4 linked regions of the Canis lupus familiaris genome follow. The protein of the gene in region 1 interacts with the protein of each later gene in a biochemical or structural test. Links are inferred from orthologs where the notes say so. Each region holds a gene or a part of one and is shown in the gene's direction. Other genes may lie near its edges.

Region 1 (6,060 bases):
TTTTCTTTTCTATTTTCTCTTTTTTAAAGATTTTATTTATTTGAGAGAGAGTGAGAGAGGATGAGTAGGGAGAGGTGGAGGGACTGGGAGTAGCAGGCTCCTTGAGCACAGAGCCCAATGCGGGGCTTGATCCTGGGACTCCAGGGTCATGACCTGAGCCAAAGGCAGATGCCCAGCTGAAAAAGCCACTGAGCTTTTTCTATACGCAAGTATATATGCACAAAAATGGGGATCCTATTGTATGTAAATACTTTTTACATATTGTGACCATCTTTCCATGTTGGTAAATACACTTCAACAGCATACTTTTTAACCCAGTATCCTTCTGTTTCCTCCTCTTTCGGCCCTGTCTCCAGGATTGACGAGAACGTGCTGGGCGCCCAGCTGGATGTTGAGGCTGCCCATTCAGAGATCCTCAAGTACTTCCAGTCAGTCACCTCTAACCGGTGGCTCATGGTCAAAATCTTCCTCATCCTCATTGTCTTCTTCATCATCTTTGTGGTCTTCCTTGCCTGAACCCTCTCAACTCTGAGGCACTCTGAGCGGGTTTGGAACCCCTTTGGGAGGGTGGCGGGTGGCCATTGCTGCCACTGAGCCTGTGCAGGGTGCTTGGGAGGAAGGCCCTGTTTCCCTGGGACTGCTGAGAATGGCCAATGCCCCTGACCCTTTGACTCTGGCCACCCTGTCCTCCCCTCACCACCCTCAGGCCCTCGAAACACACACAGTTCTGGATGTGTACTCTGCTGTGAAGTGGCTGGAAGGGAGCAGAGGCCAACTAGGGGCTGGTAGGGGAGGTTGTCTCCACTAGGTAGGAGATTTTTAGAAACTCCCCAACCTCTTCCAAAGGAAACTTTGGCAGCAAGGGGAGATGATGCCCTTCCCCTTCCTGAGAGTGAGGAAAGGAAGTGAAACTGCCCCCGGGACCAACTTTCCCATCTGGGTTAGAATTTGACCTCTCTCTTCTTCCTCTCTCCACTACGTGAGGCAGGGGGCCCTGAGCCCCTCAGCTGCCTGCACAACCCCACCTTTGGCTGCTGGTGACTCTCAATCTGCCAAATGCGCTGCAGCCCATTTTCTCCCAATTACAGCAAGACTGTCAGCCTCATTAGCCATGTTGTCATTTCTGGGTGGGAGCGTCGAGGGCCTTCACAGCCTGTGGAGTGAGTGTGCTGCCTAGTACCAGAACTGCAAAGCTGGGCTGATGGCTCTGAGGGCCGAGCTTTGGGGTGGGTGCACACAGCTGCCTCTGGGCTGGGAACAACCAAGTGCAGCAGCGTTTCATTAGCATGGAAACGTCAGAGGGGGAAGCACTACCCCAGAATGGGTCCCTGATTGGTGCCAACTTCCAGGATCATCTCCAGTAGTACTTGTACCTGTTTCAGCTGCATCCTCTACCCAGCTGGCCCCCATTTTTCCTTGAACTGGATGACGCAGGAGCTCTGCCTGCTGCCGGGAGTGAAAGGTGAAGAACTGGTTTCCCAGCTCCAGCTGAGGCTCTTGGTCCACTCCAAGCCTCTCACCAAATCCAAGCCAGTGACAGGAGAATGAAGGAGAAACCTGCCTGCAACACCCACCCTCCAGGGAGATTAATACACTTCTGGGCCAGGAGCCACAACCACATCATTCTGAGATTACTGCGGTCCCCCCACATCTCACACACCCTAAAGGAATTTCAAGTTACAGAGAACCACCAGCATACTGAGAGCTGACCCTAGAACTTTGGCAGGCTGGAGAGGGGAAAAGGAAGGAGAACGTATGTCTTTTCTAGGCCAGCATTTTACTATTTCCTCTCTCCCTGGCCTCTGTTCAGCTGGTGGTCTCAGTTGCATCTCCACTGCCCAGCTGACAGTGAATGTATTTCCGGCACAGCACTTCAGGGGTGGGTGGGGAGGTTGTGAAGACAATTGCTTGCCAAAGCTGGATAAACGCACACTGTCAATTGACTTCTTGGAAGGATGCATAGGTTGGAAGTTCATTTATATCACAAGTGTTTGTGGAGTTATTGGCACATGCCAGGCCGAGTTCCTGAGCCAGGAGCTGGAGAAAAAAGGATGAATTAGTCAAGGTCCTTGCTCTCTCGGGGTTGACATTCTAGTTTTCTGTTGCCCGGCAATCTATAGACAAGAAAGGGTATCTATCCGGCGCTGGCAGAGGCCGGGCTGAGACTTCAGTACTGGCTGTGTGCGGCTAGGGCTCCGTGAACGGCCACTGACCACCCCGCTCCGGGAGAGTCGGGTCGCCCGCTGCTCGGAAGCCCTTCGTGTGCGGCCCCCTCCCGTGTTCCTCCCGGAGTCCCGGGCTGCGGCAGCCTGCTCTCGGCTCCGGCGCTCGCCCCGGAGGTGCTGGCGGAGCGACGGAACGGAGGGGGCAGGCGGCGGGGCGGGCCGACGCGGGGCGGGCTGGACGAGCGCGGGTCTCGGCAGGCCCGGGAGAGGCCGAGCCCCGCCCCCGGCGCGGCTGTGGCCCGGTGCGCACGCGCAGCGGCCGCGCTCCCCGGCGGCTCCGCCCACCACCGCGGACGTCGGCGGCGCGCGACGTAGTTCGCAGCATAAATGCGGCGGCGCCGGCGGTAGGAGCGCTTCGGCCCGGGCGCCCGGGTGTTCGCGCGTTCGGCGGAGTTCGGCCCGCGCCTGAGCCGGCCTCGCTTCTCGCTGCGCCATGGCGGACGAGGGGAAGGCCTACAACGGTCAGTGCTGGTCGTCAGGCGGGGGCGAGGCGATCGGGGGCCCGGTGGGCGGCGCCGGTGTAGGCCGCAGCCCCGCGGCGGGAGGGGCGGGAGGCGCGGGAGGCGCGGGAGGCGCGGGAGGGGCGGCGGCGCGGGAGGGGCGGGGGCGAGGCCGAGGCCGCCTGCGGGTCGGGCCGCACTCGAGCGGGGCGCCGGCCGTGTTGACGCGGGAATCGTGGCGTTGCGCGGAGCTTCGGCCCGGGGCTGCGGCCTGGCCGGGGGGGGGCGATTCCTTTGAACTTTGTGGGTGGTGATGCCTGTCAGTTGGATTTGGCGCCCGGACTCTGCCTTTAATAGGAGTCCGTGCCCGGCTCATCGGCTCCCTGTGTCGTTTCCCACCGCGTCCGGTCTCTTGTCCCGCGTCCCCTGCGGCCTTGGCTTTGGCTTTAGTATTCTAGACTTCCACACCGGTTCGCTGTGCTCGCCCGAACACTACGCACGGTTTTAGTCCGGAGGAGTGGTGAGGAGGAGCACATGACAGCCGGGTTGAGTCCTGAGTCGTCTTCCCCGAGCTTGAGGGAATTCCACTCCCAGGCCTCATTTTCTATCTCCGTAGGAGGTGGTGACCGTACTTACTTCCTGGGTTTGCCCTCCTGTTCAACGAGATCATTCGTATCAAGTGCCCGGGGCATAGTGCCTGGCACTGAAGAAAGTTCTCAGTGAATGTTTGCTGCGCCTTATATTCAGTTGTGGTGTTTTGTTTTGTTTTTTGCCCTCCCCCCCGCCCCCCGTCATTTCTTAAGGTTCATTGTTTGCAGAACACTAGGCATGAGGCGTTTGGGGAGTCAGGGACCTTTTTGTAAGATGCTATTCTTACACCCCAGGATTCAGAGGGTCATGTTCCAGGGGAGCAGTCCAGGACCCTTGGCTAAGCTCCCTAGTTGCCACTAGAACCTGAATCTTAGGAGTTGTCTCCTAAGTTAAAAAAGCATTTTTTGCCAAGGAAATAAACAGCTCATTCCCAAAAGTTCAGAGTGGCAGTTTGAGAACAAGAATTTTAAAGAAGCCCTTAATTTTATTTGTAACTGACGCTTGTACTCTGCGCAAGGGAAGCTTTGTTTACTGAGAGCTGATGTGATCGTCGTGATTGGTTGATTTAGGAGATGTTGAGCGAGGTCACCATCCAAGTTTTGAGAAGGCTTAAATAGATTTGGGAAACTAAGAGCAAGCAGATTTCAGGTGACTTTTCAGGGGTCTAGTTCCACACTGGGTCCATATTCTACTCACACTTCCACATTGTGCCTTTCCCGGTCTGTAAGTTCCAGTTCCTGAGTCCTTTTTCTAAAGCCCTGCCCTGTCTTCCAGTGATGTTTCGCTCCTGCTGCCATGCCACAGAGAGGGTTCTCCTCTCAACAGACAGAAGTTTGCATGGAGGTGGGCTCTGTAGTTGGTGTGTATCTCATTTGATAGCACAGGCTGCTTGCTACTGTGATTCCCACAGCAGGGTAGCTGGGCTGACAGCATGTTTCTAATGGATGTCCTTTTTAACCCCAGAGCATGATGACCGTGTTAGTTTCCCTCAAAGAAGAAAGAAAGGCCGGGGTCCTTTCCGGTGGAAGTATGGCGAGGGGAACCGGAGGTCTGGAAGAGGAGGTTCTGGCATTCGGTCTTCCCGCCTGGAGGAAGATGACAGAGATGTGGCAATGAGTGATGCCCAGGATGTTCCCCGAATACGACAGTAAGCGACCAATTGATCTGGTTTGAGAGCTCAAACCAGATTTATTTATATAGCTTTCTGCTGCCCACACCATTTCCCTTCTCACCTGGAAAAGTGAGGGATGTCAGGGCCAGTTTAATGGTTAAATAGTTTTAGCTATAATCCTGACAACAGTGTGGGAAGCCTTTGAGAAGACATTCCTAGTGTTTGCGGACATTTTATTCTCTGCTTCCCCACAGCAACCCCTATCCTCCCCGACCCAACCGTCGAGGTGACAGTTGGCATGATCGAGATCGCATTCATGTTACTGTGCGGAGAGACAGAATTCTTCCAGAGAGAGGAGGGGCTGGCACCAGCCAGGATGGGACCTCGAAGAACTGGTTTAAGATTACAGTGAGTGTCTGGGGTGCCTGGGTGGCTCAGTCAGTTTAGTGTCTGTCCTACACTTGATTTCATCTCAGGTCATGATCTCAAGGTCATGAGATCAAGCCCCACGTCACCTCTGTGCTGGGCATGGAGCCAGCTTGAGATTCCTATTCTTTCTCTTCCTCCCTCCTCCTCTCCCATTCCCTCTCCCCTCCCCCCTCCCCCTAAAAAGAGATTACACTGAGTGTCTGGGGAAGTAGATGGTGCAAGGGAGATAGGGGGCTGGGCTCAGCGTGTAGGTCTTTACTTTTCACACAACAAAATCAATCTTCACTGTTTTCTCCACAGTCGGGTGTCCAGCCTTTCTCCTAGAACACCTAAGAGCAGGTTCAGAAAAGGAGTTAGAGGGGGGATAAGCAGGATGAGGGGGATGGGGACACCATCTAAAGGGAAATGTGGGGGGCAGCCTGGGTGGCCCAGCGGTTTAGCGCCGCCTTCAGCCCAGGGTGTGATCCTGGAGACCCGGGATCGAGTCCCACGTCGGCTTCCCTGCATGGAGCCTGCTTCTCCCTCTGCCTGTGTCTCTAATAAATAAGTAAAATATTATAAATAAGTAAATAAATAAATAAGTAAATAAATAAATGGAAATGTGCTAACTGGTTGGGAGGTGGAGTAACCCATCCAAATGTCTCTATCTGGCTCAAGCCCAGTATGGGGCTTGGGGTCCCTTAAGTTCTCTGAGGGGTGGGCCAGGTCTAAATCATATCTAAGAACTTTTAGAACCAAATAGTTTGGGGAACCTGGGTGGCTCAGTCGGTTAAGCATCTGCCTTCATCTCAGGTCATGATCCAAGGGTCTTCGGATCAAACCCCAGCAGGGAGCCTGCTTCTCCCTCTCACTCTGCCTGCCCCTCCCCCTGATTGAGCGCGCGCGCTCTCTCTCTCTCTCTCTCTCTCTCTCTGTGTTAAATAAATAAATAAATGAAATCTTAAATTTAAAAAAGGAACCACATAGTTCTATTTTCTTGAAAAATACTAAGTTTAAATGGGCAGAAAGGAAGGTAAGGAATCTGTGTCTGACTTGAGTAAAAAAAAAAAAAACTTTTAACTGGCCCTTCCTTTAGGAAATGTCATAGAAGTTGGCAGAAGGTGTGAAAGGAGCACTAGGTTGAGTCTGTTGGTCAGCCTTTATTACATGATATTCCTTCTCTCTCATCTAGATTCCCTATGGGAGAAAATATGACAAGTCATGGCTCCTGAGTGTGATTCAGAGCAAGTGCAGTGTCCCTTTCACCCCCATTGAGGTGAGATAA
Region 2 (5,484 bases), on another chromosome or scaffold:
TGGTTCAACGTATGGCTAGTTTTCATAAATATTCCATATATGTACTTGAAAAAAGTATGTATTTTACAATTGTTGGGTATGGTGATCTTGAATTAGAACAAGCTTGCTAATCATTTAAGTCTTCTATATTCATACTGATTTTTTCCTCTTTTGTGTTTATGTTTGGATATTTTGATTACTTTATTTCCTTCCAATATCATAAAAAATGAATGCATCTACAGTTTTCCTAAATTTATCCATTTTAATATTTAACAGTCTTTACATATCTATGACTGAATCACTTGTATTTTACCTAAGGGTTTTTAAAACTTAATAATTCTTATTGTGATGAAATATACATAAAAATGATTAAAATCAGGGGCACCTAGGTGGCTCAGTTTGTTAAGCATCTGCCTTTGGCTCAGGTCATGATCCCAGTCCTGGGATTGAGCCCCAAGTCAGGCTACCTTCTCGCAGGGAGTCTGCTTCTCCCTTTCTCTCTGTCCACCTGTGCCTACGTGAGTACACACTCTCTGTCTCTCAAATAAATAAATGAAATCTTAAAAAAACAAAAACTTCACTTTTTGAGCTTGAATAATACTCTATTTTATGGATAATACATTTTGTTTATCTATTCATCTGTTGGTGGATGTTTGGATTGTTTCTACCTTTTAGCTACCTGGATAGTGCCATCATGAACATCGATGTACGAGGTTTTTTTTTTTTTTTTTTTTTTTTTTTTTTTTTTTTTTTTTTTTTTTTTTTTTTTTTTTTTTTTTTAAGATTTTATTTATTCATGAGAGACACAGAGGGGGCGGGCAGAGACACAGGCAGAGGGCGAAGCAGGCTCCATATAGGGCCTGATGTGGGACTTGATCCCGGGACTCCAGGATCATGCGCTGGTCTGAAGACAGGCACTAAACCGCTGAACCATCCAGGGATCCCATGATGTACGAGTATCTGTTTGACTCCCTATTTTCAGTTATTTTGGGTATATATCTATGATTAGAATTGTTTGGTCATACATAAATCCTATGTTTAACCTTTGAGGAACTGTCAACTGTTTTCCTGTAACAGTTGCACCATTTTACATTCCCAACAGTAATGCATGTTTCCATGTTCTCCATTTTCTTGTCAGCACCTAGTATTTTTTCTTTTGTTTGCTTATAACAGCCACCCTAGTGGGTGTGAAGTGGTATCTCATGCTTTATGAGATATCTCTTTCTATGAGGTATTTCTTTCCTTTATGACTAATAATGTTGAACATCTTATCATTTGCTTATTGGCCATTTATCTTCTTTGAAGAAATATTTTGTGTCTCTGTGTCTTTTTAAAAATTATTTTATGTCTGTTAATATATTCTCAAAACTGTGGCAATAGAGGTCAAAGATGATACTGACTTTTAAGAGAATTTTTGCTTTTTTATGATAGGTGCTTGATGATAGAATCAAAGCTAAACTTGTGATTTTATGTTTTTTACTTTTAGTTCTCTCTAAACTTGAGGAGTAGAGTTTTTCCAGGTCCCAACACAGAGCAAGTGGCATTCACTAGTGCCCTTAACCTCTTGGTGGCTCTAGGCTCCAGTGTCTGTCTCTCTAGTCCATGAAGACTGTCAAGCATACCATCAACTTCATAACCTTCCTCTTATTTTTTTTTAAAGGTTTTGTGTATTTATTTGAAAAAGAGAAAGTATGAGCGGGGGAAAAGGGCAGATGCAGAAGCAGTCTCCCCACTGAGCAGGGAGTCAGAGGTAGGGCTCAATTCCAGGACCATGGGATCATGACTTGAGCCAAATGCAGACACTTAACCGATGAAGCCACCTAGGCGCCCCTTAACCTTCCTCTTAGAATCAGAAAAGCCCCCAGGAGAAAAGCAACCCTAAATAACAGACATGCCCCTGTGCCAGTGCCCCTTAGTGCTGGCTCAATCTTTTTTTACTATTTTGTTTGCTTTATAGAGAGCTCTGGCTCTCCTAGTTTGAGAGCTCTGGCTCCTCCTAGTCCTAGGAGGATCGGTTTGCATTACCCAGTCCGTCATTGATAGGAAAGCAAGTTTTAATTTTCACAGAAATACTAATTCCTTACTGTCAAGTGCTTATTTCATTGGCTAATTTAATAAATATTACATGATTATAATGAGTATAACTAGCATATGTGTGTTTGTAACAAATGCTACTGATGATTAACCATAACTCAGTTGTTGAGATTAGAAATAAATATACAAGAGTGGTCTACTACTTGTTAATTAACTAATTAATTAATTATTTTAAAAGATGTATCTATTTATTTGAGAGAGAAGGAGCACATGCAGCGGAGAGGGGCAGAGGGAGAGGGAGAGAGAGTCCCAGGCAGACTCCAAGCTGGGTGGAGAGCTTGACACAGGGCTCAATCTCAAGACCTTGATATCAGGACCCAAGCCAAAATCAAAAGTCAGATGCTTAACTGACTTCATCACCCATTGTAGTTTGTTTATGAAAGAAGGATTGGGCACATGAATTAATCCAGGGGGTTTTTAAGTGGAGGTTGAGTAAGATAAGATGATCTCTGTTTCTTCTGTTTGAAGCTTATATACGATAGAGGTTCTTGTCTTAAATAAATCTGCTGTATGCACACCTGAAATTTTAAGGTATTTGCAATTATTTGCATTATTGGCTCTCAGGGTTTTTCGGTCCTGTTTTGGTTTTTTTTTTTTTGTCATCTTTATTATTTTTTTTTAAGATTTTATTTATTTATTCATGAGAGACAGAGAGAGAGAGGCAGAGACACAGGCAGAGGGAGAAGCAGGCTCCATGCAGCGAGCCTGACCTGGGACTAGATCCTGGGTCTCCAGGATCATGCCCTGGGCTGAAGGCAGCGCTAAACCGCTGAGCCACCCGGGCTGCCCCTCTTTTTGTCATCTTTAAAAAGAAATCTTATTTAGTCAGCAAATGTATCCTTCCTATTTTCTTCAAGGCAGCATGTCAGGTTCTGTGAGGAGACAGTCGTGAATCCTTACTGTCAAAAAAGGAAGAAAATGTTTAAAGAGAGAAGACATACACAGAAATAATTGAAATACAAGACATAGTGTGATGGGTTAAATAAGTATTTGGATAAAGTGCTCAGGGTTCAGAGAAGAATGTCCTCAAGGAGATTTCCCACTTTATTTTAAATGTGTTTAGCTTATTCTTTCAAATGCCATAGTATAATATATTTGAGACCTTAGGTTCTGGTTATGTATTAAACATTGTGAATTGACTTGTTAGGTAATTTTTAGATACGTAAGAGCTGAACAAGAATGTTCTTTTTGACTCTAGTTTTTAAGATAATGCTTGTGATGTAATTATGTGTACCTGAAATTTTTTTTTTTCCTCTTTTGGTCTCTATTTATAGGAAGAGCATTAAGAAGTTGGTTTTGAAAAACCTTAACAATAGCAATCTCTTCTCTCCTGTTAATCGTGACTCAGAAGATCTAGCTTCACCATCTGATTATCCGGAAAATGGGGAGAGGTAAACCAAATTTTGTTTCGAGTTGTTTCTGGTAGAGAGCCCTGTTCTCACTTTGAAGGGATTTCGAGCACCTAGAATGGTGCCAATCACTCAGTAAAGATTTAGTGAGGGTTGGCTGTTATCATTGTTATAAAGGACTGAGATACTGTTTCTTTTCTACCTTTTCAGATTCAGCTTCCTGAGCAAACCTGTCGAAGACAACCATCAGCAGGATGGAGATGATGATTCTCTTGTGTCACGTTTTTATACTAACCCTATTGCCAAACCCATTCCTCAAACCCCAGAGAGTGCTGGAAATAAACACAACAGCAGTAGCAGTGTGGATGATACTATTGTTGCATTAAACATGCGTGCTGCTTTGCGAAATGGGCTGGAAGGAAGCAGTGAAGAGACCTCTTTTCATGAGGAGTCACTTCAGGATGACCGAGAAGAAATAGAAAATAATACTTACCATATGCATCCAGCAGGTCAGATTCAGATTGGTACATGGGTAATCTTTTACCAGTCATTTGACACCTCTTATTTGTCACAGATACTCAATTTAGTGGAAGTCAGCTACCAGAGATCTTAAATGATTTTATTATGTTTATAGATGGTAACATTTAAACACTATTCACTTACGCTTTGATTCCTAATTCACATACTTTTTCTGCCTTTGGAGTGGTTAAAATTCATGTCATTAGTTATCCTGGTATAAAGATCCCAAATTTTATAGCCAGAGAGACTATCGTTATACTTTACCTAGCTTTATAAACTCAGATAGATTGCTTATTAGCTTTTTAATTAAAATAATACTGATAATTATCATATAAGGTTTTTGAGGTTTCAATTAGATTAGTATATAAACCATAATGCCTGAAATGTATAGGCATTCAAATGGTATCAGTTGCTCTGGTTAATTATTATTACCTCAGTTCTGTGCTTTGCTTTTTTTCTCCTCAACAGTGAACTGCTTAGTTTTTTTCCCAATGAATCCATGAAACACATAATATAAACTACAAGATTATAGTATGTCGATTGGTCACTTAAAACTTGCATTTTTAAATTTATTCATTCATTCATTCACTCATTCATTCATTCTCAAGTAATCTCTACACCCAGTGTGAGGCCCAAACTTAACCCTGAGATCAAGAGTTACATTTTCCACCACCTGAGCTGGTCAGGCACTTGGCTTGTCTTTTTCTGTGTTGACATATCTTATTTGGGTTTTCATGAATGTAATCACATTCTTTTTTTTTTTTTTTTTTTTAACCAAGATATAATGTATATGTAGTGAAGGACACAGGTCTTAAGTTTATTTCAATGAATTATGAGAGACAGAGAGAGACATAGGCAGAGGGAGAGGCAGGCTCCCTGCAGGGAGACCAATGTGGGACTCGATCCCAAGACCCTAGGATCATGCCCCCAACCAAAGGCAGTCACTCAACCACTGAGCCACCCAGATGTCCTGGTTCATTCTTTCTTATTGCTGAATAATAGTCCATTATAAATGTATGCCATACTTGGTTTATCTAATCTCTGTTAGTGAACATTTGGGTTGTTTTATAGTTACTCTTGAAGTGTCTGAAGTTTTTCTGTAATTATCTTGTTGCCTTCATATATATCTTCTGGCCACTTAGTGCCCTAAGGGAACAAATTTATATTTTCATGTTAAGAATCCAAGTATCTATATTTGTGTGTGTGTATCTACACAAATTTATTATGATACTACATCTATTTTCAAATACCCAGTCTAAATTTTTTTATTGTTCTTAGTTTTCTCATTGACCTTATTTGTCACTTTTCAATTTAAAATTCCATTGCCAGGGTGCCTGGGTGGCTTAGCTGGTTAAGCATCCAACTATTGATTTCAGATCAGGTCATGATCTCAGGGTCATAGGATTGAGCCCCGAGTTAGGTTCTGTGTTCAATGGGGAGTCTGCTTGGGATTCTGTCTCTCCCTTTGCCCTTCTTACACTCATACTTTCTTTCTTTCTCTAAAATAAATAAATCTTTAAAAAAACAAAAAAGAAAGATGAGT
Region 3 (6,120 bases), on another chromosome or scaffold:
TCTCATTTTCCTCTTGGGACTGCCCCTGTCCCCCCAAGGGTCAACCTGCTTCTGCTTAAGTTCACTTTGGTTTGGCTAAAAACACAATTCGCTGATGCAAAAGCCTGTTTTTGACTTAAAAATACACTCAAGCAAAAATAAAAAAAGAAAATACACTCAAGCATTTCTACTTCACCAGAACGTGATGGGACAGAGGTGAGACAAAAACCACCAGAGAGGTCTGATAAAACCTGGCGGTGGGCACTCTGTGGCGTGACACAACCACTTTGCTGAAAGGTCAGATGCCTTGAAAAACGAGGGAGAGGAATGGAAGCGCCTGTTCTATATTCACGTTCAACAGCCAGGGCAGGGCTGAGCGAGCACACGCACGGACACCTGAGACAACGTGAGCAAGCACCAGGAATGGGGGGACACTGAGGGCTTATCGTCACGTCCGGTGTGACAGTGCTACACTTAGTGACTGGGCTGGAGGGGAGCCGGGCCCCAGAAGCCACTTCCAAGCCAGGACGTGAACACAGCCCTTAGCAGCGCTTAGCAGCGACGGTGGGCGCTGGCCGAGGGGACGGGCACCCCCACGACAGCCTGCGTGCCCGCTGGAGAATCGTCCCGTGGCGCTCCAGCGTCCCCCGGCCCACGGGCGTCACGGCTGACTGTGAGCACAGTAAAAAGCCACACGGCCCTCTCTTACAGAACTTTCCATGGGCTCCTCACACAATCATGGGCCCAAACCACCTGCCTTTCTTCTGTCAGCTTGTGTTGAGCAGAGTGACCCCAAAACCCAAGCACCTTGCGCAGGTGTTTCCGAGGAGATGCCCTGGCCAGGCCCGCAGGCAAAGCTCGAGGGGGAGGGAGCACAGGGCACACTCACAGTCTGGGCAGCAGCCATTAAAGGCCATCCGGCAGATGCCACAGTTCTCGTCGTTGGCCACCCAGAGCCAAGTAGCCACGCCGTTCCAGCACTTGATCTTCACCTTCATGGCCGCGGAGCCTACAGGGGGAGGAGACATCGCCGGGCCACACTCAGTCTGCACAGCTACCCATCTAGGCACCCAAGGGGCGCGGCTCCCAGCCGAGGGTCAGCCGGGGCCGGACCTGCTGCCAGAGCTCAGAAACCCTGAGAGCTCTGCACCAGCGGCAATGGCAGGGCCCGGGCCACCCTTGGGAGAACAGCGCGCCCCAGAGCCAGAGTTATCGGCGAAGACTGCAGGGTCCGCCCTGCGTCCCCAAAAGGGCACATGGGCTTCGCCAGTAATTCCAAAAACGTACCATACGGGTTTTTTTCAAAGAGATACGACTAAATCGGGGTTGACAAATAGAGACCCCAACCCAGGTGACCACGAGTTCACGCCAGGGAACCACCACCCAGCCCACTAGGCCTGCGCCACCACCCCAGGGTGAGGGTGCAGAGTGGGGGGTGCCGGGCAGGACCCGGGGTTGCGGGGGAAGGGGTGAGGGCAGGAGCATGCAGAAGGAGTGCGCAGAGGCCAGGAGAAAGTGAGGTGCAGGGAGGGACCAGGGTGTGTGGAGAGTGGGATGTGGGGAAGCGGTGGGGGGGGAAGGGCGGAGCGGAAGGCGCAGGGGTGCGAGCAAAGAGTAGGGGAAGGGGTAGGGGTGTGGGGAGAGGGTGGGGTAAGGAGCGGGGGTGCCTGAAGGGGGTAGGGAAGGCGCCGGGGTGCGGGGAGAGGGCAGGGGAGACGCAGGGGTGCGGAGGGAGGCGCAGGAAGTGGTGGGGGAGGTGCGGGAGCGCGGGGAGGGCGCGAGGCCGGGGCGCGGGGAGGGGGGGGGGAGGGGAGGGGAGCCGCCCGCCCCGCCCCGCGGCCCCGCCCACCTGCGCCCCCCGCCGGCCTCCGCGCGCCGACCCCGCCTTCCGTCGGCGGCGCCCGCGTGGGAAGGTATAAAAGCGGCCGCGGCCGCCGCCGGCACCTCAGCTGCGCCCGCCGAGCCCGCCGTCCGGCGCACGCGCCCCCGCTCCCGCCCGCCCTGCCCGCCCTCGCTCCCGCCCGCCGCGGCCAATCCCCGGCGGCCCCGGCCTCGGTCCCGGCAGGCCGCGCGCGGCCCCGGAAGTGACGCGCCGACGTGCTGACGCGCGGGCTCGAGCCGAGGCCGACTCCGCGCCCGCCATGGCCGACAAAATGGACATGTCTCTGGACGACATCATCAAGCTGAACCGGAGCCAGCGAGGCGGCCGCGGCGGAGGTCGGGGCCGCGGCCGGGCCGGCTCCCAGGGCGGCCGCGGTGGCGGGGCGCAGGCCGCCGCGCGAGTGAGCCGGGGCGGCGGGCCCATCCGGAACCGACCGGCCCTCGCCCGCGGCGCGGCGGGCGGCGGCGGCAGGAACCGGCCGGCGCCCTACAGCAGGGTGAGCGGGGCGGCGGGCCGGCGGGCGGGGGCGCGCGGGGGCGCGGGCGGCGGGCCGGGGGGCTCGGGCCGGGCGGGCGGGGGGGCGCGCGGCGGCCGCCCGGGGCGGCGGAGACCCTCCGGGCCTTTGTCTGGGCCGGGCGCTGGGCCTCGTGGCGGCGGCGGGCGTTGGGCGCGGCCGCGCAGGCGGCGGGAAGCGGGTCGGAGGGAGCGGCGGCGCCCGGGACGCCGGGGGGACGGCGGGCGGGGGCGTGCGGGCGCCGCAGGGTCCGCGGGAGACGCTCACGGGCCGCGTGCTCCTGTGCTCTCCTCCCCCCGCAGCCGAAACAACTTCCCGACAAGTGGCAGCACGATCTCTTCGACAGCGGCTTCGGGGGCGGCGCCGGCGTGGAGACGGGTGGGAAACTGCTGGTGTCCAACCTGGATTTCGGAGTGTCGGACGCGGATATTCAGGTGAGGGGCGGGCGTTCGTCGGTGAGCGGGTCACCCGCACCCGGTGGCCCCGTTGAGGACGCGGCCTGAACCGCCCGCGCCGCACCTTAGGGCGGGGAGCCCTAGGGGCCCAGGGGCAGCCGCCGGCCCTCTAAGGGCTGCAGGAGTGCAGAGCGGAGGTCCTGGCCCGGGAAGTGCGGCCGGCAGGTCGGGGTGTCGGAGGTCGGGCCCGGCCTAGCGGGACGAGCTGCCGCTCTTCCTGAGTCGTGCCCCGCGCGGGGGCGCAAACCCCCTGCCGGAGCCCTCGCTCCTGGCGGGAAACCTCGACCTAACCTGAGCGGTTTCTGTTCCTGCCTCGCTTAGGATCTGCGTTTTGTTTACTTTGTGCTTCTTTTAACGGTTTGCTGGGAGGACAGAGATCTTTTTCTGTGGAAGCCTACGGGCAAAGCACAGACGCAGGACGGCGCTGGGCATGCTTTTGTTCCGCTGGCCTTGAGCCCCCGGCTCCATGTCGTACAGGACCTATATCCTGTCTTTCTTCCCCTCTTTTTAGTGGCATGATTCTCAATCCCGACTTTGGTTGAAGCTTCTTTGTTTTCTTTTTGTTGCTGTTGTTGTTGTTTTGGTTTTTGGGGTCTTTTGGTTTTGTTTTTTTGGGGTGTTTTTGTTCTTTTGGGTTTTTTTGTTTGTTTGGATTCCAAAAGCATATAAACTTGTTTTTTGATTAAGTAAAGACATTTTGGGGATCAGTCCCAGAGATGGCTGGGTCAGGGTGCTGGGCCTTCCTGGGTTCAACTTCCCCAGAGCCCAGCTGTTTGACTACCGTGGGAGGACAGAGCAAGGCCGGTGAGCACTCACGGTGTCTCAACACTTTTTTTAAGGTGGTTTCTGGCATCCACTGGAAACCGCTTTTGGTGAACTCCACTTCCCGCTGTGTGCCTGCGGCCGGAGTAGCCCCACACTCTGGGTTCCCTCTCCAACTCCCAGCCTGCCTGAGGTCAGGGCAGTTTCCATGGCAGCGCTTGACTTCAGCCTTTGCGGCAGGCTTGAGTAGGAGGAGAGGGAAAGGTGAGCCAGAATCTGCCCTGGGGGAGGGGCTGGGTCAGGGCTCCCGAATCGACGGGCCCTGTGAGCTGGTGTCCACATGTCGGATAGCATCCCTTGCTCTGTGATCTTGGCCTTTGCGGTTTCTTGGTACAGTCCTTGGGTGTGTTGTCAGTTTTCCTCTGTTGAAGAAGATAGCGACTTAATCTTGTTCCCTTCACTGGCGGGTTCTGTGGTCCTTTACCTGCATCCTGGTACTGATGTAAGGTCCCCACACTGGCAGGAGCCCTCAGACCCAGCTGCTCCGGGAAGTGGCTGTCCCATCTGCCCCTCCCTCCCCGTGGTTTCCACTACCAGTGCCCTGCCCCAATACGTGTCTGCCTCCCAGGGAAATAACCCCCCCTCAGCAGCTCACCCTCCCAGGGACTGTCCTGGGCCACAGGAAGGGAAGCACCTCACTAACAGCTGCTCTTTCCGGCCCCCAGGAACTCTTTGCTGAATTCGGAACTCTGAAGAAGGCAGCTGTACACTATGACCGCTCCGGGCGCAGTTTAGGAACAGCCGATGTGCACTTTGAACGGAAGGCAGATGCCCTAAAAGCTATGAAACAGTACAACGGCGTCCCTCTGGATGGTGCGTCTGAGGTTGGACCCGGATGCTAGAGGGGCTGCGTCTCGTGGAGTCGGGCTGGCCGCTATCCGTGCAGGAGTATGGCTTACCCCTGTGGCTGAGGACACTTTGCATTCGCCCCTTTGTCTCTCTCTTCCATTCCGCCACCTCTCATGCTGCCCCACACATCCGGACCAACCTCTTGTGAACCCCCATCCAGCAAGCTACACCCTCCCCTCCTTCAGCTCCTTCCGGAAGACTCACTTCTGTGAAGCCTTCTCAGAACCGCCATAGTACACCTCTGAGTGCGGGGCTGTAGTCGTAAAGACAAAGGTACCGGTTCTTCTTCCGTCAGGCCACCCACACCTTTCCACCCATGAGCACCCCGGACACCTGACCAGACACCCAGCTAACTGGACTGAGAAGGAGCGAGGAGGTTTTGGTGGGGTTGTCATTGGCACCATCTCGTTCTCCCACCAGTAGTGCTCGGCCACTCCCCTTGTTGGGAGCATTTGGAGACACAGCCCCTTTCCAGTGCTTGCATGGAGACCGGGGTGTGGTGCCCCTCGGCGCGTTTCGAGCCCTCTAACTGCATGTGTCCTCTTGTATTCTTTGCCACAGGCCGCCCCATGAACATTCAGCTTGTCACGTCACAGATTGACACACAGCGGAGACCCGCGCAGAGGTGAGTTCTGGGGTCTTTGGGACGGTGCTGACCTGTGGTAAGTGGGCGCTCACCCCATGGGCCTTTGAACATCACGTGAGTGAGTCCCCTCTACCTTGGCAGCGTAAACAGAGGTGGGATGACTAGAAACCGTGGCTCTGGAGGTTTCGGTGGTGGCGGCGGCACCAGGAGAGGCACTCGTGGAGGGAGCCGGGGCAGAGGTCGAGGCACTGGCAGGAGTTCGAAGCAGCAGCTTTCTGCAGAGGAGTTGGATGCCCAGCTGGATGCTTATAACGCAAGAGTAAGTCACAGACGAGGGTTGGGGAGGGCAAGAATTGACTGGAAGCGTGAGGGCTCTTGTTGAGCGGAAGTTTCTGTGTTTCAGATGGACACCAGCTAAAGAGACCAGCAGATCCTCAAGTGGAGCAGGACCCAGATGTCTCCTCCGTGCTCCCTGGCGGGAGGGGGCGGTGGACTGGGGGCTGTGCAGCCAATGATGGATTTGTTTCTTTTATGTTTTAAGATAGGATTTAAAAACTCATGTAAAGGTTTTTTTTTTTTTTCTCTCCTTTTTTTCTTTTTTTTTTTTAATTCTGAAGCAGCCCTGTTTTGTACCGAGTTATTTTTGGGATAAATGTTACCGGTTGCCGTTGTGGGGAAGGTGGCGTTTTCACCTTTGCCATAATAAAAGAGACATGTGTGGAACTAGAGTTCTGTGGCTCATCCCCTGTCGCAGTCCTTGCTTGGGCCACAGCTGTGGTGTCGGGGGCTGACGAGCGTGGGGAGCAGTCTCCCCTGGTAGCTGGAGTCTGCTCGGGAGGGAGATGGCTGCTGCTCCGCCAGGCCTGACTCCTTCCTCTCCCACCTGGTGGATGCGCCTACCTAGCTGCCTGTACCAGGAAGTGACAGGGTGGGTTGGGGCGCCCTGTTGTTGCCAGATTCATATGACTGGGTAGGGCTGTTCCTTAGCTTCTGGTGCTCTGGTTCTCAGAAACGTGGATCAGCAGTTACGACT
Region 4 (6,143 bases), on another chromosome or scaffold:
TTAACTTCAATTTTGTGTTGTATTTAATATAACCTTGAAAGAGATTAAAATCCCCTAACCATGTAAAGCTTTTTGTCTTGTGCTTTTACAAATAATATGTTGGCTGTTGTTGTCTTTACTCCCTAACATATAAATTTTTATCTTTAAATATCATTTCTCCCTAAAAGGAATCAGATCTCCTTGGAGAAATGGCTAATTTCATGTCTGGGGCAGGAAATGTACCAGATAAGCCTGGAACAAAATAACGAGGGGGAAGAGTGGGAAGAGAATGTATGCTAAACAAGATTGACATGGGTTGCTAATTGTTGAAATGGGGTGTTGGGTACATGGGAGACCTTTATATTCTTTTTTTTTTTTTTAAAGATTTTTAAAAAGTTATTTATTCATGAGAGACACAGAGAGGGAGGCAGAGACCCAGGCAGAGGGAGAAGCAGGCTCCACGCCGGAAGCCCCACGCGGGACTCGATCCCGGGCCCCGGGGTCACGCCCTGGGCCGAAGGGTAGTTAGTTGCTCAACCACTGAGCCCCCCAGGCGGCCCAGTATTCTATTTTTTTTAATTTTTATTTATTTATGATAGTCACAGAGAGAGAGAGAGAGAGAGAGGCAGAGACACAGGCAGAGGGAGAAGCAGGCTCCACGCACCGGGAGCCCGACGTGGGATTCGATCCCGGGTCTCCAGGATCGCGCCCTGGGCCAAAGGCAGGCGCCAAACCGCTGCGCCACCCAGGGATCCCCCAGTATTCTACTTTTTTATTTTTTTCTATAAAAGTAGTTTAAAGGAATCTAAAAATAATTGCTATTTTAAGAAAACGAGATGGTAATAACATACACGTGGTAAAACAAGTTTCCTTTTAATAGAAGAAATGCTAGAATGACATGCAATGACAAGCTGAGTCTCCCGCCAGACCGTCCAGCCCCGTCTCAGGGCGATCTTAGTGGCCACTCCCTAAGTACCGCCGTGAAGTTTCTATGGAAAAATCAACAAAAACACAGGCAGCGCCGCCGCCATGTCCCGTGGAGAACCCCCCGCGGCAGTACGTCCCACACCCTGGCCCACTCGCGGGCTTTGGCAGCTGGTCCTGGCACGCGGGGGAGCGTGCGCCCGCTGCCGCGACGTCCTCACACCAGGCTTCCTCCATCCGAGCAAGAAGCGAAATCCCTATCGCTTCCCTCGACGTCATGCGGGGAAGGGGGGCGAAGGCAGAGCCGGACTCTGCAGCCCCGGCCCTGACGCGGCTCCCAAGCTCGGGTTCGGGCAACAGCCGTGTCCCCCGAGAAGGGCCTCGGGGTAGGCGGGTAGGCGGCGGGGAGGGCCGGCCCGGGCTTCCTGGCCCCCCCTCCCCCCCTCCCCCGACGCCCGAGCACCTGCTCCGGCTGCCGGACTCACCTCACGACGGGCGGGCCCCGGGGGGTCGGCGAGGCGGCGCGAGGAGCCGCGGGGCGCACGCCCACGGCTGCACGCGGACGTCGGCCCTCGCCCGGTGACGGGGCGCGACGTAGGAAGAGCGAACCGACCGACGTCGCCGGGCGGCGGGGAGCGCCCAGGAGGCCGGCCCGGGCGAGCCCCACGGCCTGCGGCGCTCTCCGGCTGCCGCGGCCGGCCTCCTGGGGACCGCGCCCCGAGGGCTCGGTCCCCGCACAGGCCCCGAGCGGGCGGCCCAGGCACACCCACGGACGCCGCGGGACCCCATAAGTGCCCCGTAAATGCCCGTGGACGGAACGCCGCGAGCGGCCGGGGGCGGAGCCAGCGCCGTGTCAGCCTCTCGCGACGTCCCGGTGACGCCGCACGGCGAGCGCGCGGTCCGCTCTTTCACCTTCAGTCAGCCTCCTCCGTGTACGGCCTGCCCCTTTAAGCGGATGACGGACAGCTATTTCAGCCTATCAACTCCCTCGTCAGCATCCAATCAGATTTAAACTTCTTACAGCCGTCCGAGGAGTTGGAAGAAGAGGTCGAGAAAGGGAGCGCTTTCTGTCTCTCGCGAGAATGTTGTAAGCGGGCCTCTCAGGAAAAGCGCCAGAACAGATGGCCCGACTTCCCAAATAGTGAGTTAAAGGACGGGGTCGGAAACCAATGAAAGGAATGAGGAGGTGGGATCACCGCTTTTACCGCGCCAGAAGTACCGTTACAGGGCAGACTTTTCGCCCAATCAGCGCCTCCCGAGTTTGGGTCAGGTGACCCTACAGTGCGAGGGGCGGAGCTGCGGCCTGGCGCGAGGAGCCGTTAAGATGGACAACAAATACGACCAATGAGGTACTCGGACCCGGGCGTTGGGAGCCCAATAACAGCGGGCGGGCGGGCGCCTTTCCGGAGCGCGGGGAGATGTGAAGACGGACGGGACGTTTTCCCAATGAGCCTGTAGCAGAGAGGAGCCAGCTGACCAATGAGGGCCGCGGGGCGGGAGCCTCTGCCGCGGCGGAGTCCAAGATGGCGGCGTGCGGTTCCGCTGTGTGAAACGAGCGCGGGGCGGCGGGCTCAGCATCTCCGCGGAGACGACCTCCGGCGACCCGCAACAATGAAGGGGAAGGAGCGCTCTCCGGTCAAGCCCAAACGCTCCCGCGGTGGTGAGGACTCGACTTCCCGCGGGGAGCGGAGCAAGAAGTTAGGGGGCTCTGGTGGCAGCAATGGGAGTAGCAGCGGAAAGACCGACAGCGGCGGCGGGTCGCGGCGCAGCCTCCACCTGGACAAGTCCAGCAGCCGAGGCGGCAGCCGCGAGTATGACACCGGCGGGGGCAGCTCCAGTGGCCGCCTGCACAGTTACAGCTCCCCGAGCACCAAAAATTCCTCGGGCGGGGGCGAGTCGCGCAGCAGCTCCCGGGGTGGAGGCGGGGAGTCACGTTCCTCCGGGGCCGCCTCCTCAGCTCCCGGCGTTGGGGACGGCGCGGAGTACAAGACGCTGAAGATCAGCGAGTTGGGGTCCCAGCTGAGTGACGAGGCGGTGGAGGACGGACTGTTTCACGAGTTCAAGCGCTTCGGTGATGTAAGTGTCAAAATCAGTCATCTCTCGGGCTCTGGCAGCGGGGATGAGCGAGTAGCCTTTGTGAACTTCCGGCGGCCAGAGGACGCGCGGGCGGCCAAGCATGCCAGAGGCCGCCTGGTGCTCTATGACCGGCCGCTGAAGATCGAGGCGGTGTACGTGAGCCGCCGCCGCAGCCGCTCCCCCTTAGACAAGGATCCCTACCCGCCGTCGGCTGGCGTGGTGGGCGCCTCCGTGGGCGGACACCGGCACCCCCCTGGAGGCGGCGGCCAGAGATCGCTTTCCCCTGGTGGCGCGGCCCTGGGGTACCGAGACTACCGGTTGCAGCAGCTGGCTCTTGGCCGCCTGCCCCCCCCGCCTCCGCCACCGTTGCCCCGTGAGCTGGAGAGAGAGCGAGACTATCCGTTCTATGAGAGAGTGCGCCCGGCGTACAGCCTGGAGCCCAGGGTGGGAGCTGGAGCAGGTGCTGCTCCTTTCCGAGAAGTGGATGAGATCTCACCCGAGGACGATCAGCGAGCTAACCGGACGCTTTTCTTGGGCAACCTAGACATCACTGTGACAGAGAGTGACCTAAGAAGGGCTTTTGACCGCTTTGGAGTCATCACAGAGGTAGATATCAAGAGGCCCTCTCGGGGCCAGACCAGTACCTATGGCTTCCTTAAATTTGAGAACCTAGACATGTCTCACCGGGCCAAACTAGCAATGTCTGGCAAGATCATTATTCGGAATCCTATCAAAATTGGTTATGGTAAAGCTACACCCACCACTCGCCTCTGGGTAGGTGGTCTGGGACCTTGGGTGCCTCTTGCTGCCCTGGCACGAGAGTTTGACCGATTTGGCACCATCCGCACTATAGACTACCGCAAAGGTGATAGTTGGGCATATATCCAGTATGAAAGCCTGGATGCAGCTCATGCTGCCTGGACCCATATGCGTGGCTTCCCACTTGGTGGCCCAGATCGTCGCCTTAGAGTAGACTTTGCAGATACAGAACATCGTTACCAGCAGCAGTATCTGCAGCCTTTGCCCTTAACTCATTACGAGTTGGTGACAGATGCTTTTGGACATCGGGCACCTGACCCTTTGAGGGGTGCTCGGGATAGGACACCACCCTTACTCTACAGAGATCGTGACAGAGACCTTTATCCTGACTCTGACTGGGTGCCACCCCCGCCCCCAGTTCGTGAACGCAGCACTAGGACTGCAGCTGCTGCTGTGCCTGCTTACGAGCCCCTGGATAGCCTGGATCGCAGGCGAGATGGCTGGTCCTTGGACCGGGACAGAGGTGAGCGAGATCTGCCCAGCAGCAGAGACCAGCCTAGGAAGCGAAGGCCGCCCGAGGAGAGTGGGGGCCGGCACCTGGATAGGTCCCCTGAGAGTGACCGTCCCCGAAAACGTCACTGTGCTCCTTCTCCCGACCGCAGCCCGGAATTGAGCAGTAGCCGGGATCGCTACAACAGTGACAATGATCGATCTTCTCGTCTTCTTATCTTGGAAAGGCCCTCTCCAGTCAGAGACAGGCGAGGAAGTTTGGAGAAGAGCCAGGGTGACAAGCGAGACCGTAAAAACTCTGCATCAGCTGAACGGGATAGAAAGCACCGGACAACTGCTCCCACTGAGGGAAAAAGCCCTCTGAAAAAAGAAGACCGGTCTGATGGGAGTGCGCCTAGCACCAGCACTGCTTCCTCAAAGCTGAAGTCCCCTTCCCAGAAACAGGATGGTGGGACAGCCCCCACCACTGCAGCCTCTCCCAAGCTCTGTTTGGCCTGGCAGGGCATGCTTCTATTGAAGAACAGCAACTTTCCTTCCAACATGCATCTGTTGCAGGGTGACCTCCAAGTGGCTAGTAGTCTTCTTGTGGAGGGCTCAACTGGAGGCAAAGTAGCCCAGCTCAAGATCACTCAGCGTCTTCGTTTGGACCAGCCCAAGTTGGATGAAGTAACTCGACGCATCAAAGTGGCAGGTCCCAATGGTTATGCCATTCTCCTGGCTGTGCCTGGAAGTTCTGACAGCAGGTCCTCCTCTTCCTCAGCCACATCAGACACTGCCACCTCTACTCAGAGGCCACTTAGGAACCTTGTGTCCTATTTAAAGCAAAAGCAGGCCGCTGGGGTGATAAGCCTTCCCGTGGGGGGCAACAAAGACAAGGAAAACACCGGGGTCCTACATGCTTTCCCACCCTGTGAGTTCTCCCAGCAGTTCCTGGATTCCCCTGCCAAGGCACTGGCCAAATCTGAAGAAGATTACCTGGTCATGATCATTGTCCGTGGTGCGTCCTAAAGTCCATGTATAACTTGTATTTACTACTTTGACATGGTTCCTGTTTTGTGATGTGTAATGGGATACAGCATCAGATGAAATTTTCTTTTGAGTTAGTTTGTTTAGTTGAAGCTTTTTTTCTTTTTTTTATATTTTTATAAACCTTTGAAATAGAAGACAGGACAGTTTAGCTATTAAGTGAAAGGGATGCCCTGAAGGTAGCAGGCAGATGGATTTATTTTAATTAGGAGTTCCTACTCTTAGTAACTTCTTTTCCCCTTCTTTTTCTTGTTGTGTTTTTTTTCCCCCCCCTTAACCTTGAGCTTAAAAAAAATCCTCAGAGTTACAAACCCAAAATTTTGAAAAGTCAGGATTCGGAGAAAAGCCCACTGACTATATAAAGAAGATAATATACATCTAAAAAGGGCTTGATTGGTATGTAGGTAAATAATTCTTGTACCAGAAATATCATTTGTGTGGCTGAAATTTGATCAGGAATCTTAAAAGTACAAGCTGGTAAATTGTATAGCAATATTAATTATTTTAATCAGGTATTTGAGTATTTCTCTTGATATACATGGTTTATTCCCGGAGAGTTTGCTTTAACATAAACCTTTTTATCATTAGTTCTTAAGTTCTGTATCCCGTATATGCACTTTTGGTTTGTAGCTGTAACTGTTCAGTAAAAATCGAGGAGTAGGTTACAAACCATATATGTCTTATGCTAGTATGCAAGAAGTGAGTAGGTGTTTTTAAAATCAGAATTCTTTGGTTATTGGTGTGTGGTGGTGTTTTTACTGACTTTCAGAGAGGTATAGCAGGTACAGTTCTAATTTGTGCATATTTCAAAACTTTAGTGTTTTTCATCAAAGATGAATTTTTTTTGTATCCATGCAAATTTCTGATTT

The links.
Region 2: the proteins of NXF1 (region 1) and NUP98 form a complex in vitro, tested with the Homo sapiens proteins (5 studies listed by BioGRID and IntAct). The link is inferred for Canis lupus familiaris from reciprocal best matches to the Homo sapiens genes NXF1 and NUP98.
Region 3: the proteins of NXF1 (region 1) and ALYREF form a complex in vitro, tested with the Homo sapiens proteins (2 studies listed by BioGRID and IntAct). The link is inferred for Canis lupus familiaris from reciprocal best matches to the Homo sapiens genes NXF1 and ALYREF.
Region 4: the proteins of NXF1 (region 1) and RBM15 form a complex in vitro, tested with the Homo sapiens proteins (2 studies listed by BioGRID). The link is inferred for Canis lupus familiaris from reciprocal best matches to the Homo sapiens genes NXF1 and RBM15.

What each region holds. Positions count from the first base shown.
Region 1 is NC_049239.1:54,401,786-54,407,845, forward strand, and holds the start of NXF1 (nuclear RNA export factor 1), read left to right. Parts: upstream 1-2,525; 5' UTR 2,526-2,658; coding exon 2,659-2,686; intron 2,687-4,219; coding exon 4,220-4,403; intron 4,404-4,621; coding exon 4,622-4,775; intron 4,776-5,967; coding exon 5,968-6,051; intron 6,052-6,060. Other genes in the region: STX5 (syntaxin-5), read left to right, coding at 357-516.
Region 2 is NC_049242.1:26,404,865-26,410,348, reverse strand, and holds part of NUP98 (nuclear pore complex protein Nup98-Nup96), read left to right. Parts: intron 1-3,347; coding exon 3,348-3,464; intron 3,465-3,632; coding exon 3,633-3,931; intron 3,932-5,484. UniProt on the Homo sapiens protein: Plays a role in the nuclear pore complex (NPC) assembly and/or maintenance. NUP98 and NUP96 are involved in the bidirectional transport across the NPC. May anchor NUP153 and TPR to the NPC.
Region 3 is NC_049230.1:1,220,738-1,226,857, forward strand, and holds ALYREF (THO complex subunit 4), read left to right. Parts: upstream 1-2,105; 5' UTR 2,106-2,120; coding exon 2,121-2,357; intron 2,358-2,677; coding exon 2,678-2,809; intron 2,810-4,317; coding exon 4,318-4,465; intron 4,466-5,062; coding exon 5,063-5,126; intron 5,127-5,228; coding exon 5,229-5,406; intron 5,407-5,490; coding exon 5,491-5,505; 3' UTR 5,506-5,815; downstream 5,816-6,120. Other genes in the region: ANAPC11 (anaphase-promoting complex subunit 11), read right to left, coding at 869-977. UniProt on the Homo sapiens protein: Functions as an mRNA export adapter; component of the transcription/export (TREX) complex which is thought to couple mRNA transcription, processing and nuclear export, and specifically associates with spliced mRNA and not with unspliced pre-mRNA.
Region 4 is NC_049227.1:42,106,779-42,112,921, reverse strand, and holds the start of RBM15 (RNA-binding protein 15), read left to right. Parts: upstream 1-2,050; 5' UTR 2,051-2,382; coding exon 2,383-5,245; intron 5,246-6,143. UniProt on the Homo sapiens protein: RNA-binding protein that acts as a key regulator of N6-methyladenosine (m6A) methylation of RNAs, thereby regulating different processes, such as hematopoietic cell homeostasis, alternative splicing of mRNAs and X chromosome inactivation mediated by Xist RNA.